Xenopus tropicalis: one gene and its partners. Each later gene encodes a partner of the first gene's protein in a complex. Links are inferred from orthologs where the notes say so. Each region holds a gene or a part of one and is shown in the gene's direction. Other genes may lie near its edges. The genes, in order: kansl3, kansl1, kansl2 and phf20.

What was found.
Region 2: kansl3 (region 1) and kansl1 share a complex: the UniProt entries of both Homo sapiens proteins name them as parts of the NSL complex. The link is inferred for Xenopus tropicalis from reciprocal best matches to the Homo sapiens genes KANSL3 and KANSL1.
Region 3: kansl3 (region 1) and kansl2 share a complex: the UniProt entries of both Homo sapiens proteins name them as parts of the NSL complex. The link is inferred for Xenopus tropicalis from reciprocal best matches to the Homo sapiens genes KANSL3 and KANSL2.
Region 4: kansl3 (region 1) and phf20 share a complex: the UniProt entries of both Homo sapiens proteins name them as parts of the NSL complex. The link is inferred for Xenopus tropicalis from reciprocal best matches to the Homo sapiens genes KANSL3 and PHF20.

The regions. Positions count from the first base shown.
Region 1 is NC_030679.2:125,205,099-125,209,544, reverse strand, and holds the start of kansl3 (KAT8 regulatory NSL complex subunit 3), read left to right. Parts: upstream 1-1,382; 5' UTR 1,383-1,474; exon of another isoform or gene 1,475-1,542; intron 1,543-1,555; exon of another isoform or gene 1,556-1,641; intron 1,642-4,446. UniProt on the Homo sapiens protein: Non-catalytic component of the NSL histone acetyltransferase complex, a multiprotein complex that mediates histone H4 acetylation at 'Lys-5'- and 'Lys-8' (H4K5ac and H4K8ac) at transcription start sites and promotes transcription initiation.
Region 2 is NC_030686.2:17,302,622-17,307,243, reverse strand, and holds the start of kansl1 (KAT8 regulatory NSL complex subunit 1), read left to right. Parts: upstream 1-1,481; 5' UTR 1,482-1,513; intron 1,514-1,958; 5' UTR 1,959-2,096; intron 2,097-4,622. UniProt on the Homo sapiens protein: Non-catalytic component of the NSL histone acetyltransferase complex, a multiprotein complex that mediates histone H4 acetylation at 'Lys-5'- and 'Lys-8' (H4K5ac and H4K8ac) at transcription start sites and promotes transcription initiation.
Region 3 is NC_030678.2:135,662,928-135,666,789, reverse strand, and holds part of kansl2 (KAT8 regulatory NSL complex subunit 2), read left to right. Parts: intron 1-2,781; coding exon 2,782-2,960; intron 2,961-3,860; coding exon 3,861-3,862. UniProt on the Homo sapiens protein: Non-catalytic component of the NSL histone acetyltransferase complex, a multiprotein complex that mediates histone H4 acetylation at 'Lys-5'- and 'Lys-8' (H4K5ac and H4K8ac) at transcription start sites and promotes transcription initiation.
Region 4 is NC_030686.2:42,973,623-42,978,237, forward strand, and holds the start of phf20 (PHD finger protein 20), read left to right. Parts: upstream 1-1,570; 5' UTR 1,571-1,836; intron 1,837-4,615. UniProt on the Homo sapiens protein: Methyllysine-binding protein, component of the MOF histone acetyltransferase protein complex.

The DNA.
Region 1 (4,446 bases):
ACAGGGGGCTTTATTTGCTAGTGAATCTTGTTTTTATTTAACCGAAACTTGCCCCCAAGTCAGGAATTCAAAAATAACTCCCTGGTTTGGGGGCACTGAGAGCAACATCCAAGGGGTTGGTGAGCAACATGTTGCCCCCGAGCGAATGGTTGGGGATCACTGCCTTAGAATACCATTATTTATCAGATATATTTACAAAGCATTCCCCCATGAAAGAGATCAATGGAATGAAATCTGGGAATCTCTTAATGCCCTGACCAACCTAGGCCATGTGCTGAGCAGAAGTCCCACTGTAAATAAGTATTTAAATATACTATATACTGTAGTATATATTTTTTCACAAATATGTTTCCTTTTTAGCCAAATAGGGATCAGATGTGCTGGTTGCAGCAGATATTGTTGGCAACCAGGACAAAAGTGTAGTTCCCAGTTGGGGCTTGGTCCAAAGGCACCATGAGCAAGAGGCTGAGGGTTGTATCATTCACAACTAGGAAAAAAAAACTTTTTGTTTCCAGTCACAAGTCAGTACTTTCTGCAGATAACAAAATTAATTTTACTTTTCGTTAAACATTGAGTGCAGAGACTGCAAACAACTAGAAAAAGTGATAACCTTCTTGTGCAGATATATATGACTTGATACAATGTTGGGCACAGCTGCTCCAGCAGCAGTAGTTATTGGGCTATTACCCACACTCATCAAGAATAAAACAAAGTCGGATTTTTGTTCCCCAACACAATTAAAGGGGTGGTTAACTTTTAGCATGTTATATAATCACCTATTCTAAGTAACTTTTCGTTGGTCTTCGTTATTTATTTGTAATAGTTTTTAATATATTTGCCTTTGCAGCTTTCAAATAGAGGACACTGACCCCGGCAGCCTCTCCTATTCATATATCAGTCTCTCATCCAAACCACCCCCTGGTTGCTACGTTAACATGGACCCTAGCAACCAAATAACTGCTTACAATTCCAAACTGGTGAGCTCCTGAACTGAAAATGAAATAACTTAAAAACTACAAATAATAAAAAATGAAGACCAATTGTACATTGTGTGAATATGACTCTCCGATCCATAGTTAACTCAAAGGTCAACGACCCCTTCAACAGTGGGCTGAGACACAACTGCATAGTCGCAGCTACATTTCAGGAACAGAGGCGCTATCGCCTGCCGTCAAACAAGACAACCAACTCGAAAAGTCTTTTTCATGTTCCTTTACAAAAACCGAGGCCGCAAGCAAAGATACAACCCTCACAGTCAACAGCAGCTGACCCTAAATGGCTACCACCTCTTACTAACTTGTACACTGAAGCGCTCCACCCATTCGCGTCACTCACTCACGCAAGGCTCCTACGTATTGCGGCACTCTCTCACGCAAGGCTCCTACGTACGCGTCACTGCGTTATTACGTGAGTTCGTGACGTCTCGCGAGATGAGACTTGAGATGTCGGGATTCGCTGTTCGGCAGAGGCTGAGGTGCGGAGCGTTTTAGCAGCGATCCGGGCTGCGGGTTGTGTGAAGCGGCACTGTTGGGCGGTATGCATGTATGTTACACAGCCGTACTTCAGCTCGCACAGGGCTTAGGGTGCGGAGAGCATACGCCTCGGCCCCTCACAATTTTAGGGGCGTCACCGTGGAAACAAGTAATCATATAATAGATGTGTGTCCTGTACACATCAGGGATGTACAAGTTGTAGCCTTCCGCCTTTTGTTTATCTGCAGCTCTCTGCATCTCCTATAGATAGTTAGCTCTCAGGATCAGGGCCCTCTTTACCTCCTGTGTTTGAATGTATGGTGTATTCACTCTGCTGTTGTACAGAGCTTGCCACCTTATACATCCATGTTAGTAATGATAGCTGTGCTGATGCAGAGTGTTGCATTGCCTATGAACTCCATGACATTTTGCCCTGCATGTTGGTTGCCCAACCATCCTGGGGCCCCCTCAGTGCACATTTGTCCCCAGTGACACTTTCTGTCATATTCATAATGTAAGAGGGAGCTTAATTAGTAGGTTTGTATTTTCCCATTGTATTGTTGCCTCATTTTCTGACATCACGTCATGACATGGGCAGATTTAGGGTGAAGACACACGGCTACTAGTAGCAGCTACTTGTCATGGCTACAGAACTAGACAGTGCTGATCTTTTACAGGGTATTTTTTTGGTGATTAGTAGCTGTAACAAGTAACTGCTACTGAGTAGCTCTGTGTGTCCTTGCCCTTAAAGGAACAGTAACACCAAAAAATGAAAGTGTATAAAAGTAATTACAATATAATGTACTGTTGCCCTGCATTGCTACAACTGGTGTGTTTGCCTCAGAAAGACTACTATAGTTTATATAAGTAAGCTGCTGTGTAGCCATGGGGGCAGCCATTCAAAGGAGAAAAGGCACAGGTTACTTAGCAGATAACAGATAAACCCTCATTATATGGGGCTTATCTACTAGTTATCTGCTATGTAACCTGTGCCTTTTCTCCTTTTTTCCAGCTTGAATGGCTGCCCCCATGGCTACACAGCAGCTTATTTATATAGTAGCTTTTCTGTAGCAAAAAACACCATTTTTTTGCTGGGCAGCAGTACATTATATTTTAATTACTTTAAAGGAGAAGGAAAGGCTAAGTCACTTGGGGGTGCCAAAATGTTAGGCACCCCCAAGTGACTTAGAACGCCTACCTTGTACCCCGGGCTGGTGCCCCTGTACGGAGAGAACAGCACCAGCCCGGGGTAGCTGCCGGCGCTTCCTCCTTCCTCCTCGCTGCGCGCGCATGCGCAGTAGAGTGAAAAGCCGAACTTAAACATTAAAGTCGGCTTTTCACTCTACTGCGCATGCGCCGGCCGGCGGATTTCGCCGGCAGCGCGCAAAGGAAGGAGGAAGCGGTGTCTACAGGTGCCCCGGGCTGGTGCTGTTCCCTCCGTACAGGGGCACCAGCCTGGGGTACAAGGTAGGCGCTCTAAGTCACTTGGGGGTGCCTAACATTTTGGCACCCCCAAGTGACTTAGCCTTTCCTTCTCCTTTAAAACACTTAAATTTTTTGATGTTACTGTTCCTTTAAGCATCTTACCTGCCTGTTTATGGGCCCACCCTGGCTGATTACCTGATGAAAATTGGGCAGATACTTATCAAGCAGGTTTGAAAATATTGGCAGGCAGGGGCTGGCATTGGTGTGTTCATGCGGTCTTCTCCTGACACTATAGGCACCTATTATGATCCATTCATTAGCCCAGAGACTAAACAATTGGATCAGCCCAATTTGGCCCAGAACGTAGGTGGTCAAATTGGGCAACAATAGAATCGTTTGGCAAAAGTCCAGATCTTAATGTGTATAGTTAGCAGGGAAGACCATAAGAATTTTTTTTCTGATTGTACAAATATTTAAATATTATCTTACGTATTTATCAACACAACTTTGTCAGTATTCATGTTCAAGCTGATGTGAAGGGGTAAGTAGTTTACCTTTAAATTAAAGGGCATTTATCATAGTAAAGTTTCTACCTTCACTGGTGGTGCTGTCTGGTAGAGCTTGCAGTCAGTTCTTTGTTGAGCAATATGCCGTCTGCCCCGGAGGGAGCTCCCAGTATGGGTGGATACATTGGGGCACACGTGCTCATTATGAGTGTGTGCCCCAGTTGGCTCACTGTATGCATGCGTGTGGTGTAGGATAAGGGGGACGAAATCACCAATCCTGTGTCACAGGTTTTCCTCTTCTGACATTGTCTAGCTTTCATTGGGGTCCTGTTTTGTCTACAGTTGTATTATTTATTATTGTCTTTCTATTCAGGTCCTCTTCTTTTAATCTTCCTGTGTTTTATTAACACCAGCTTGTTTGCTACCATCCCTTTAATAACAATTTTGTTTATTGTACTGAAGGATTAAGAGTTGTGTGTGTATTTGTGTAAGGGCTTTTACAGGTGGGGTTTTCTGTATGTTTGAGACAAAGGTTTAATCGCACCTTCTTGTTTTAACACGTTAAAATATAATTGGGAAATGTATATTTATCTAGAAAAGCTACAAATTGGATGGGTGAAGTTAAGTGCCAGAAGCACATGACATGCTTCAGGCTATTTTTTGGGGGAAATGGGTCCTCTAAGGTCCCTGTAACACAGGTCTGGGCTAGGACCCAAAACAGGCCCTGGTATTTCAAGTACACAGAGGCCCAAAAAGCCCCTCACCAGCCCAATAAATAGTGACTGTCTATGGCATCTTACAGCAGCCCCTCTGGCATTTGCCAGAACCCACAGATTGTGGATATAATAAATAGGCTAGTGTTGGTGGAGATATACATGGGAGTATGCATATACAGCAGAAATGGTCTTATACAAAGCATTGCAACCTTCAGGCTTTTTTAGATCTAGTTGCTGTTTAAAGATGCACATTCGTGATGAAGATAATAATAGTAATAAACTCAAGTGTTGACTGCATGTTTTTAGTCTTACAGAAGAAAGTATATC
Region 2 (4,622 bases), on another chromosome or scaffold:
ACAATCCGGGCCCGGACCCTGTTCCCTGGGCTCCCCCGCAACTGCGGGTTCTGCTTCCTCTATAGTTACGCCACTGCAACCACTGCTAAATCTGCTAGTTTGGTGAAGTCAGCAAATGATGGGATCTAGACCCAATTTGACCATGTTGGGCCAAATAGTGCTGATCTGATTTTTGCCCTAGAGGGGCCCACCGGAAAACCTTGGGCTCACTCTCCAAACTATTTTTCCTCCTTTCCTCACTCAACCACTTTATTCTCCAAGTTTCTTTTATTTACATGCTAGCATCTATCCTTCCATCTATTTTTCCTCTTTGTTCCTATTCAGAAATTGGGAATGACCATGAAGTAGGCCAAATGGTCAGGAGCAGGAGGGCCCACTGACGCCTGGGCCCACCGGGAGTTTTCCTGGTATCCTGGTGGGCCAGTCCAACACTGGTCAGGGATGCCACATACATGGGCCAGTAAGCTGCCTTAAGGCCAGCTCAGAAATGCTTAGCTGATGTTCAGTTTAAATATATATTGGAGAAAAGTACCTCAAGTTATGGGGGGGGGGGGGGTAACCTAGTGACATTTAGTTATACTTATGCCCTTTCTGCAAGCCTAACACTGAGACAGACTGAACCATGGAAGTGAGGTGAAGTCAGCACAGGACAGACAGGCTCTGGCACCTAAGGCAGCCAAATAGTGGGGTATATTATATAAGGACATATTTATAAGGGGAAAATATTTCAAATATGCTACTAAAAGGTAAAATTTAATAAATATGCACTTGTGTCACTGCTGTGCTTTGGTACAAGAAATTCTGCTTTTATCTGTGGCATAGATATCAGGAAGTGATTTCCACATGTTATTTCATGGGCAACAAATTGTCTTCAGATTTTAGGCTAGGGATAGCCAATATGTGTCCCAAAAGCTTTTGTTGAGCTATATAAGCCTTCAGGCCAGTGTGAGATTTACTAGTAATGGGGTGTGGGGGTAACCAAGTTACTCCTGGTAACTGCCATACATTGAGCTTATGGTGGCATTACACTTGTGCTCTTCAATTCCTCTCAGAGGATGCTGGGAGCTGTAGTTTAGGAATAACTGGGACGCTGTGTGACAGACCCCACATTCTTGCGCATTGAAGTCTCTTTGTGGATGGAAATTTTTACATAAAGATATGGTTCATGGCCCCCCCAAAACCATAACCCACTTTCCAGCTTTGGATATAGAGTATCCCTCCCTCGTCACTTCTCTGCAGATTTATAAACAATTAATTCAGCGCTCATGGTGCAAAGTGTCCCTATTTTAGCGGTCTCCCCATGTCCCATTAAAGCCCCCCTCCCCCTTATTCATATCCTGCAACCAGACACACAGTAGGGACACAGTAATCGCACAGGGCCTCGCCCCTTACAGCTTGACGGACAACTCATTAACCAATCGCGCGAAGCTCCTCCGGACCTTCACCAATCCGGAGCTTGCAAGGGAGGGTAAAGGGTGGCACCGGAGCCAGCAGTACTGGTTGAGCTGTGCAGGTAGGTGCAAACTGAGGGGTGCTTGGGGTGTGGGGTTCATGCACCAGGTGGCAGTGGGAGTGGGGGTAGAGCACCCCTGGGCATCCAGAGGAGGCTGGGCAGAGATGGAACAGCCCATTGCAAGAGTTGGGGATGAAGGGGGCTGTGAGGAATTCTCCAGTATTCTCTAGCAGTCAGCAGGCCAGATACACTAGATACTGGAACTTTATAGGATCAGCTGTGGGGGGAGCACAGCCCCAGTGCACACTACCACACTGTGCCACACATGCAGGGCAGACACTACTTATACTATATATGTTCACTCATACTAAATACATACAGGGGAGAACATACAAATACCACTGTCTACCAGAGTCCACCCTATTAAAAATTTCCACAAAATAAAAAAAAAAAAAAACTAAATCAGATAGCGTGAGTGAAAAAATATGACTATTTGTGATCCTAGATATCAATGGATGATGCAGAGGAACCCCCCAAACTGGCCTTTGGCAGACAATGCTACAAGGATGCCTCCGAGGAACAGCCGGGATGAGGCAACAAGGATCCATGGATCAAATGAAAATCGGTACAGTCTGATAATATGGTGAGTAAGCGCCATGCTTTTATAATGTGAGTCTTTAATAGCACTGAAAGGACAGGACAGGTCCTACAGAAATTCCTTTATCTCCATTTATTCTGGGGTTACAGTAAAAGAGTGGTAACCATAAAAATGAAATGAAACACATATAAATCTTATATAATTAGTGATAATTTTAATGCAAACTGCAATGACTTCTAAGCAGCATACAGTGTGCCTCTAAATGATGATAGCGGATGTCCGGTATTAAAATGTGCAAGCAAATGTGAGGCCATGGACCTCTGACGGAGGTAGGCGAGATGGCAGGCATTTTGTTACCCTCTGTCACTTTTCCACTGGAAGGCAGTGGCACACAGAATCCTTGTCCTGTGCCATTAGCCTAAATATCTGTAGTGGGAAAAGAAATGGGTAGCAATCCAGTGCACATTGCTAAGGCTGCACATCCAGACTGGGTGCCCATGGCTGAAGGGAACAGTAACTTTCTTGAAGTAAACACGACCCACAGCTTTGCCTTACTAATGCTGCTCCTTGCCTTACAGCTCACCAGCATTGCTCTTTTCTTTCTTGGGGTCTGGATGAACTTATTTATCTCGACTTCTCATAAGGAGGTCTGGAATGGGATATAAAATAGGCCATGGCATATCATGTACAGAGAGGCCAAAAAATCCCAATAAATAGTGACTGTCTATGGCAGGGGTGTCAAACTCAATCACATAAGGGGGCCAAAATCTAAAACACAGGCTAAGCTGCGGGCTGAATTTTTTATTAAGATACTTAATCTTACTAAAGGATAGATCCTTCCTCACCCTGAAACACCATATCACACGCCATCTTCGTGCATTAATTATGTTTTGAAAATAACAGCAGTTCAGGCCGCATGCCTTGTGTTTGACACGTGGTCTATGGCATCTTATACCAGCCCCTCTGGCATTTGCCAGAATCTGTAGACTGCGAGTCCGGGCCTGCTCATAGGACATGGGTCACATCAGACAAGTGGATTAGTTAGGGGATGGTGAGATAGCAGTCAGGGTTAGTGGTTCATGTCTTGGAAAATCCATGGTAGGGATGGTCTATGGGTAAAGCCAGATGGTTGAATATTACAAGAAACATCCCTTAGACCCTGTTCCTCACTGTTACCATTTGTGAGTGTGGGAGTCCTCATTGCTGACCATAGTCGATAGGGATCATTGACAACACAGCCTATCACTGGAAATGGTAATGCCCTGGGGCCTTTTACTAGATGCTTCTCCCAGCTGCTTTAACATTAGAGCTTGGTCTGCCTCTGCAGCCTGCTTAATTTGTGAGGAGCATGTAATTTTAAAAACGTAGTCCATATACTATTAAAAAAATATGGGGCAGCACCTGGCCATTCTACCTTTAATTATCCTATTTCCTCTGCAATTATGCTTTTCTTTGTTCCCTTTTTATTTTTTTAATTCAGTTGCCAGCTTCTTTCATGATATCCCACAGCCAATTCCATGTGTAATACCCCAGAACACATAGCAACAAAAATGCTGTGGAAATTTAATTTAAAATACATCTTAGATTACCTTGCAGGATTACCTGTAATGTCTGTTTCACATAAAATATCACAGAAACATAGTAGGATAAATGCATTGCCAATTCCATTTATAATGCCCTCAGAACTTATGCCTGTTCCATATATAATGCCCCCAAAACACATGCCAGATCCATATATTTAGCCCCCAGAACACATGCCAAATCCATATATATAATGCCTCCAGAAAAAATGTAATATAATACAGTCTCAGTTTCATGCATAATAATCCCACAACACATGTGAGGACAAGAGGATTGGTTATCAGGGAATATGAAGTGGGTCATTACCTAGGGAATCTAAAAATTATGGAGGATGAGGAGGATGATTTATGAATTAGGAGAGGAATTTTATTATGGGCAAGAATTTGTAAGTGTCAGTGATCCAGCTATTCTGTAATTGCAGATCTCAAAATGTAACAATTAGCTGAGCTTGCAATGCATGTTGAGAGTTGTAGTCGTGTCACAGTGGCAGAAGCACTCTACCCCTAATGTAGGACAGTGGTCAGGATTAGAAGGAGAGGTGTGACAGTAGGAAGCAAACAATAATAAAATTTAGATGTAAGAAAGACAACCCTCTCAAGGTCTATTTAATTTACTTGAGACTCCTTGAGATAACTTCAATTTATTACAAACAATTTATTATAAACAGAAGTACAATTTGTTATATTAATGAACTAGTGTTTATTATTGCAGCCCCCTGGTCTTATTCATAGCACTTACTATAGCACTTGTCACTTGAATAAGACTAGGGGCTGCAATAATAAATACTAGTGCATTAATATAACAAACTGTTCTAGTATTCTGTATGGAGAAGAAAATTGAAGTGATCTCAAAAGGTGTCTTTTTTTTTTTTCCTCTAAAAAAATAAATTGATTAGACCTTTGAGAGGGTTGTCTTTTTTCCTTAATTTCATTATAGTTTAACTTCACTCTCACAAGATATTCTGGTTCTTAGGATCTAAAGTGATAATTC
Region 3 (3,862 bases), on another chromosome or scaffold:
AATGTTTCATTGATTTTTATTTTTTTAGACTTAAGGTATGTAGATCCAAATTACGGAAAGGCCCCTTATCCGGAATACCCTTGGTCCTGAGCATTTTGGATAACTGGTCCTATACCTGTGTACATGCTTGCCCATGGCTTGTGTGTGAGCACAGTGCTTTATGACCCAAAAAGATGGACTTTAGTACTTAAATAGCAGTGTTTCAATATTCACTGGAAAATACTTGTTGTTAATGATATATACCCTTTGAGAGGGTCAGGCTTGTGCCACATGGGGCTGATTCTTGGCCTGTGGAAAAACACATGCTGAGTATCAGCCCCTACACAGGCACCAGCTTTCTACCTTGCTGATGCACTGGATATTGGCTGGAAATGCGAAAAACATTTTTTGGCTGATATCCGCCACATCTGCCTGAGGTGCAGGCAAGGTAGCAGGCTGGTACCAGAGTAGGGGCTGATTCTCCGGGCTACTGGCCCAGAACCTTTATTGCTGTGAATGGATTGAAATATGCTACAGCCTAAATGCAAGGTGATACTCTCTCCAATCAGGCAAAGCAACTCCACTCTAATAAAGAAACTGTATTAGGTCAGGAAAAAGGTCCCTGGCGAAGCATTTTTTTTAGTATTGGAGTCTGGTCAATAGAACGCCTAGCAGCAGTTGCCATATATTATATTTTTAGTTGAGGCATTCTCTAGAAACCAAATGAGCAGCACCGCCTACTGGAAATTTTTTTTTAAAGTTATAGAGAAATAGTCCTGAAAGCTAATGGGATTGATCTGTATATTTGCCTTCTAAATGTTTATTATATAGTGGTGGCCTTTAGATCCAGATGACATGCGCATGTTACTACATTCCCTTTTACACAGATTACCTAGAGCAGTGCTGTCCAACTTCTACGGTGCCGAGGGCCGGAATTTCTCTAGCATACATGGTGGAGGGCCGCTAATGGAAGCCAGTTTTGACCACTCCCCTTTTTGAAACCACACCCACTTCAAACCACACCAAAATCCCAAATGCTTGGTCCTTACTGTGGGGATATCAACCATCATTCATATGTGAAAGAATTATGTCATATTAAGATATACCCTTAAAGTCCATATGCCTCCTCCTCCCCTGTGGATAGCAGAGCAACCCCAGTACATAATTACACACCTTTGGGACCATTTAATAGCTATTTCCAACTGCTAACAAACTCCCACAACAAACCCCTGCCAGGTTCACCTCCCACAAGAATAGAGATTTAAGGCTAATGCCCCACAGAGAGATTAACTGCCATGCCATTGCAATGAATTTCTGCTACAGCAGATAACTTATCTCCGAAATGCCTTTCGAGCGGCAACATTTGAATTGCCTGTGGGAAGGTATAAGCAGTGCTTTGTTTTTCAAAGTTGCCTGCAGGAGGAAATTTTTGTGCAACTTTCTTAAAACAAAGTGACGCGTATGCCTTTATACCAGTGGTTCACTTTGGAAGGGTATTTTGGGGTAAATAGTCGCCTGTGGCAGCAAAGATTTGTTGCGGTGACTAATCTCTCCGTGGGGCATTAGCCTAAAGGTGGCCATACATGGGCCGATTGTAGCTGCCGATATCGGTCCCTTAGACCCGTGTAGGGGCACAAACGAGGGGCCTGCCCGACCGACATCTAGCCTGAAATCATTCAGATATCAATCAGGCAGGTTAAAAAATGTAGTCAGATCGGGGACCGCATCGATTTGACTTCGCCTATACCTGTTATTCTAATTTGTAAGTTTGGCCCCACGACCGAATTAGCCTGGATTCGCCTGATATCGCCCACCCGTAGGTGGGGGATATCGGTAGAAGATCCGCTCGCTTGGCTTGGCGAAAGTGAGCGGATCTGAAGGTATATGGCCACCTTAAGACTGTCTATATTGTCTCTTGTCCACTTGACTTCCTTGATTTCTAGCTTCTTGAACCCTTAACTTACAGTACTATGTTGGAGCTTAAAGGAAAAGTAACACTAACATTTTTTTTAAGTAAAAAAATCTGTTCTACCTGCTCCAATAATTGCCCTATCCTGCAAACCACTTAGTATTTTGAATGCTTTGTTAGAAAATACCTGCTAAAACTTGGCTTTCGGTCATTTGAAATAAGGTGATATGGCGAAGGAAGGAGCAGCATCCACTATGCGACGATCGATTGAGCAAGCCTAGTACAGAAGAAAGGCTAGGCTAGATCAATTGATCATTGCATAGTGGATGCTGCTCCTTCCTTCGCCGTATTGCCTTATTTCAAATGACCGGAAGTTTTAGCAGGTATTTTCTAATAAAGCATTCAAAATACTAAGTGGTTTGCAGGATAGGGCAATTATTGGGGCAGGGTAGAATACATTTTTTTTACTTAAATTTTAGTGTTATTTTTCTTTTAAGAGGTCAAACAGGGAAAACTGAAGACACTGTGTGTTTGGTTTTTTAAAGGTGGATAATTATATTACCAGTGCACAGATAACATGCTGAGTGGGTGTCTGGGCACTGGGAATCTAATCTGCTTTGCAAAGCTCAATCATGAGTAGCTTTTGTTTCCCTGTTTTTCCTGTTTAGCTCAGGAAATAAAACAAAACATTGATTGCTCATGATTAAATCAAGAGACAAAGTATGATCAGCACAAACAATATTTATTGCATTCACATTAAACAAGGGGGTATACTGCTTTTTATCAAAATAAATGCTTCAAAAATGAATATTTTATGTTTTGTTAGTTTTTGTGTTATGATATGTAATATGTACTTTTATAATTAGTAATTTCTTGTTCTACAATATTGGCAGGGTTTCATTCTGTGCAGAGCATGCGCGTCGGAATGCATTAGCACTCCAAGCTCAAATAAAGAAATCAAACCCAGGACCGACTAGTGAGTCTCTGTTGTATCAGCTGAATACATATGCCCGGAGTGAGCTGGGCTCTCAGATACAGGAAAGCAGCAGAAGTGAAGCCTGCAGGATTCTTGGTGTGTTCACATTTGTGTGTTATTTTTTTTTTGCTTTGTTTTTTCTTCTATACTCATCACTGCTGTTTTTTTTAATAACATAGTGAAGTTAATATGAATAAGAAAGCTGAGTTACCAAAATGTTTTGTAACTGATTTAAAGGATGTCTTATTTCTACTATTATTTAATGAAAATGTAGACTGTGGGCAGCCCATGTGCATAGGCAACCACTGCCCTGTAGGCTAGTGCCACACGGGGCGGATTCTCTTGGAGTGATATCTTCCTCCTCCCAGCAGCCAATCAGCAGAACAATGGGAAGGGAGCAAGATAGCAGCTCCCAGTAGAAATCAGAATAGCACTCAATAGCTAGAAATCCAAGTCCGTCTTGGGACTCCTCCAGTTCCATGGGAGTTGGAGAGACAATAGGTTACTTGAAAGCAGTTCTGATGTATAGCACTGGCTCCTTCTAAAAGCACAGACTCGGACACAATGCACTGAGATGGCACCTACACACTAATATTACGACTAAACAAAATTACATTTGTTGGTTCAAGAATAAAATTTTAAATGGTAGTGAATTATTTTCAATATAAACAGAGTAATTTAGAAAAAAAAAAAAAAAGTATACCATCAAAATCATGACACTATCCCTTTAAATAAACCAAAGCACCTTAAACGCTGCAGTATAAGACTACATGCATGTATAAAGTTGTGTATTGATTTTAGGCAAATATGATGCGGTAGAGGAGATTTATTGTGGACGACTAATCTTTGTATCTCATTTCCCCTATGGTTCCCTAAATAGCTGTAATCAGTGTCTAACTTTGTCCCCTTACCACTGTCACTTCATCTCCACGGCTAATAACCCAAACATATACTGGTCAAAAACACACATGTAATAGTCTTATTTTTTCTGACCAGAT
Region 4 (4,615 bases), on another chromosome or scaffold:
GGTACCCCACAGCAACTTAAATTTAGGGCCCCAAAATACTAGACAGTTGAAATATTCTATCAAGAAATGTTGAAATTGCCCACTAATTAGGACCTCACTGAGCCCTCTACACTCCTGCCCCACCCCCCTGTTCCTCTGTAGTTAAACCCCAGCTCAGAGACCCAAACAGCCCCCCCCCCAGCCCAATAGTGACTGTCTATGGCACCTTACAGCAACCCCTCTGGCATTTGCCTGAACCCACAGATTGCCAGTCTGGGCCTGGGCCCTGGCATTCCAAGTACCCAGAGGCCCAAACAGCCCCCCCAGCCCAATAAATAGTGACTGTCTGTGGCATCTTACAGCAGCCCCTCTGGCATTTGCCTGAACCCACAGATTGCCAGTCTGGGCCTGGGCCCTGGCATTCCAAGTACCCAGAGGCCCAAACAGCCCCCCCAGCCCAATAAATAGTGACTGGCTGTGGCACCTTACAGCAGCCCCTCTGGCATTTGCCTGAACCCACAGATTGCCAGTCTGGGCCTGGGTCCTGGCATTCCAAGTACCCAGAGGCCCAAACATCCCCCCCTCCCCCAGCCCAATAAATAGTGACTGTCTATGGCATCTTACAGCAACCCCTCTGGCATTTGCCTGAACCCACAGATTGCCAGTCTGGGCCTGGGTCCTGGCATTCCCAGTACCCAGAGGCCCAAACAGCCCCCCCAGCCCAATAAATAGTGAGTGACTATGGCATCTTACAGCAGCCCCTCTGGCATTTGCCTGAACCCACAGATTGCCAGTCTGGGCCTGGGTCCTGGCATTCCCAGTACCCAGAGGCCCAAACAGCCCCCCCCCCAGCCCAATAAATAGTGACTGTCTATGGCATCTTACAGCAGCCCCTCTGGCATTTGCCTGAACCCACAGATTGCCAGTCTGGGCCTGGGTCCTGGCATTCCAAGTACCCAGAGGCCCAAACAGCCCCCCCAGCCCAATAAATAGTGACTGTCTATGGCACCTTACAGCAGCCCCTCTGGCATTTGCCTGAACCCACAGATTGCCAGTCTGGGCCTGAAAACCCAAATCCTTTTCTAATTCTTAATTCACACCCCCAATCAAATTAAAAGTAAAATACAAAATAAAGCACCTGGTGAGACTCAGCACCTGCATGCCAGGATTTATTGTAAGGCTGTGGGCTGGTAAGGTGCAGTATAACAGCTGGAGGGCCATTGGTTGGTCGTGACTGACGTAACCAGCAAAGCACCTAACAATTGTCACACAGTAAATAGCCTTTCTGCTAGAGGCCTTTGCTACTGGGTGGCCATGACGTGCTCACACCTAAAACACAACCCAGACTAAATCATATCCACGCATTTTTCTTGTTCCTTCAGACATTGCGCCTGTCACAAAGTTTACAGTGAGTCAGCACATCACTTCCCTCATGCGCCACAGCCAATTCTTTCTCAGGAAGGTCTGGGGCGGAGCGCACAGAAAAACCGCGCCAAACTCATTCATCAGCTGACCGCGCTGACCAATCCCTGCCCCGCTATTTTCCTGGCGGGGCGGGCGGGGAAAATCGAATTCCCCGCCCAGAACGCGGGTACGCGCCCCGTTGTACAGCCGTCCCCTTCTCTTCTGTAGGTGCGCGTCCGTGTCATTAAGTGTTATGGGGCGGGGGCGCGCCTTGCCATGCCGCGCAGTGTGAAAAAAGAAGGAGGCGGTGGTGGTGCCTGTTCTTGTGAGGGAGGATAATGATTTATATGTGACTGGAAGAGCTCACTGACACACCGGGAGGTGGAAAGGTTGAAAGTCGGAGGGAAATTACTAAGGAAAAGCGAAGAGAAGCCAAGGAGTGACAGAGCTCAGGTACTGCGTGCTCTATCCTGCTGCTGCTGCTGCTGACAGGGGCGGGATGCTGGGGCTGCCGGTTGCTGGGTAGAACAATGGTCACATGGGCGGGGCGCTCATTCCCTGTACTTGTGATGCAGGTGGGGGGGCGCCTCCGGGACTCTCCGCCATTACTTTATGTATTTTTTTAAGGTTTTGGGGGTGAAGAGAAAGGTTGCTGAGTGGGGAAGGCAGGCCTGCAGCGGCCGGTCTTTTCCCTGCCTGATAATGATGGAGCGGTAAGGGAACCAATTACGTGCGTAGAATAGCTTGACAGACGGCTGCTTGAACCAATGAGCGCGGAGGGGCGGTACTTGCCATGCTTTCTGAAGTCCCTTTAAAAGACGCTGCTGTCTAAAGGAAACGCGGTCGAAACGTTGTGCCATGTGGAGATACGGTCTTCCGTTATCTTATATAAAGAAGATGGAATGACCAGGGCTTTAGGGTGCCTAGGATCCCCAGCTTTTCAGGGGGACCCCATCTGGGGGAAAAATACGAATTTATTGAAATTGTTGGATATAGGTACAGTGCAATTCAGCAACGTTTTAATATATATTTTGTATCATCTCATTATTCTTCAAACAGCCTGGCTTAGTTGGAGTGCTGGGAGTTGCAGTTCATCTAGTTGTAGGATCACATGGTGGCTATCCCAGAACTCTATTACTCCCTCTTACCCATAGGATGGGGTCCCAGCCTTCCTACTATGTGAAGGGTTAACATATCTGGCCCCTTGATGGTAAATGCTACTCCTATATAAAACTGTCCCTTTAAATCAGTGCTTATGGGATTTTGCTGCACTGAATACAAATCAGTGGGCAGGGGAAGCCGAGCCATGTTGTGTGGCTGTGTGACGCAACCTGTTGGTGAACTTTGTAAACATCGGTCATTTCCAGGATTCAAACCCACCCAGAGGATGCGCAGCCAATCTGGGCCACGCACAGCTGTCTGTAGGGGGGTACAGATAGGGGCAGCCAAACCGCTGTCCGTAGAGCAGAACTTGGATGAGGACGGCTAAGAAAAAGTCCATTATAACAATGTTAGTCATCTCTTTTCTGAGACAGGGAATATGCTGTGACTGGGGGGCTGGAGCCCTGGGGTCTAGATTTCCATTCCTGCAGGAACCAACCTGCTAGGAGTCTGTATGATTTACCTACGTCTGTAGGTTTTCTGCTGCGCTCAGTAGTAACACACAGGTTAATTGGCTTGCAAGGGAATTGACCTCAAGGAACTTCAGTGGGGCAATAACCAATGTAGTAGATATTGAACAATCCCAATATAAAGCTTGGTTTAACAGCTCAACATGATAGCAATAAAGTAAAGATGCACCAGCTGTGGTTGAACTTCAACAGTTTATGTGAGTGTATAGATTGGTAGGTGTGGGTTGGGTGTGCTGGGTTTACTTGGATGGGTTGAACTTGATGGACACTGGTCTTTTTTCAACCCTATGTAACTATGTAACTCACAGCATCAGTGACTGTTAGGTAGTTATAGTTCAGCAACAGAGACACAACTGCAGTTCAGCACCAATGACCTTTTGCTGTTGGGATGCTGGGGATTTTAGAAGGTTTGAATCAAGGCTGTGTCTTAGCAAGATCCGGGGAGCTGCAAATTGTACATACCCCAAGGGCAGGTTATAGGAAGAATTGTGGTGTTTTTAGTGGGTTTGAGGAGTATTTATAATTATTATTAACATTTATTTATAAAGCGCCAACATATCCCGCAGCGCTGTACAATAAGTGGGTTACATACATTGGACATACAGAGCAACATATAAAGCAATCAATAACCGATACAAGAGGTGAAGAGAGCCCTTGGGGCAAGAGGTTGTCTGGCTTTGGGTGCTGAAACCCTGCGGGGTCTGTAATGGGTTGCAGAAGTGAAAAGGAGTTATTGCTTTAAATAATAGTAGGTATTTTGCTTGTGTAGTTTATATGCACACGTGGTTCTGCTCTATTAGATATTTACCATAAGGAAAGGCAGACTTTATTCTTTTTACGCCCTTAAATCTGTGGTTTGAATGGTTTTGTTCTTTATTTTACGTTATTGATGTCACTGTCCGAGAGAAAAAATAACTACTGGAAATGGGTCAGAAAACTCACAGTATAGATAAAAATATGGCTAAACGGATATTTTCCAGCCCTTTTAAAGTTACAGTAGAATTTAAAGTGATGTTCCTTTTTTGACAAACACAACAGTGATTGTAATCTCACATGTGTCACCCGGGTCACATGCGTCTCCTTAATCTCCTATGAGTCTTTTGTGCAGACGTTCTTATAGATGCAGTTCACCTTCCACACACAATCAGACCCTAGGCCTGTGCAAATATCTTGGAACATTACTAGATACAATTTGAGTCTAGGTGTGCTTTATTGATATATTTTTTGTTTAGCTGCTGTCTGTGACCAGTATCCCTGCACATACATCTGTCAACCCAACCCCATGTATAAAGGTGGGTATACACGAACCCATTCCGGCAGCTTATCGGCCTGTGTATGGGCACGGACGGCTTGCCAGAGATCAGCCAGATCTCGATCGGGTGGGTTTTATTTTTCAGTCTGCCTATACCCACCGTTCTAATTAAATCGTTTAGGCCCAGGGTCAAACGACCAAAGTAGCCTGATATTGGCCACCCGTAGGTGGGGATATCTGGAGAAGATCTGCTCGATTGACAACCTTGCCAAATGAGCGGATCTTACCATGTATGGCCACTTTAAGAATGATCCATTCAGGTGTGCTGCCAAGAGGTGAGTTGAGAAAC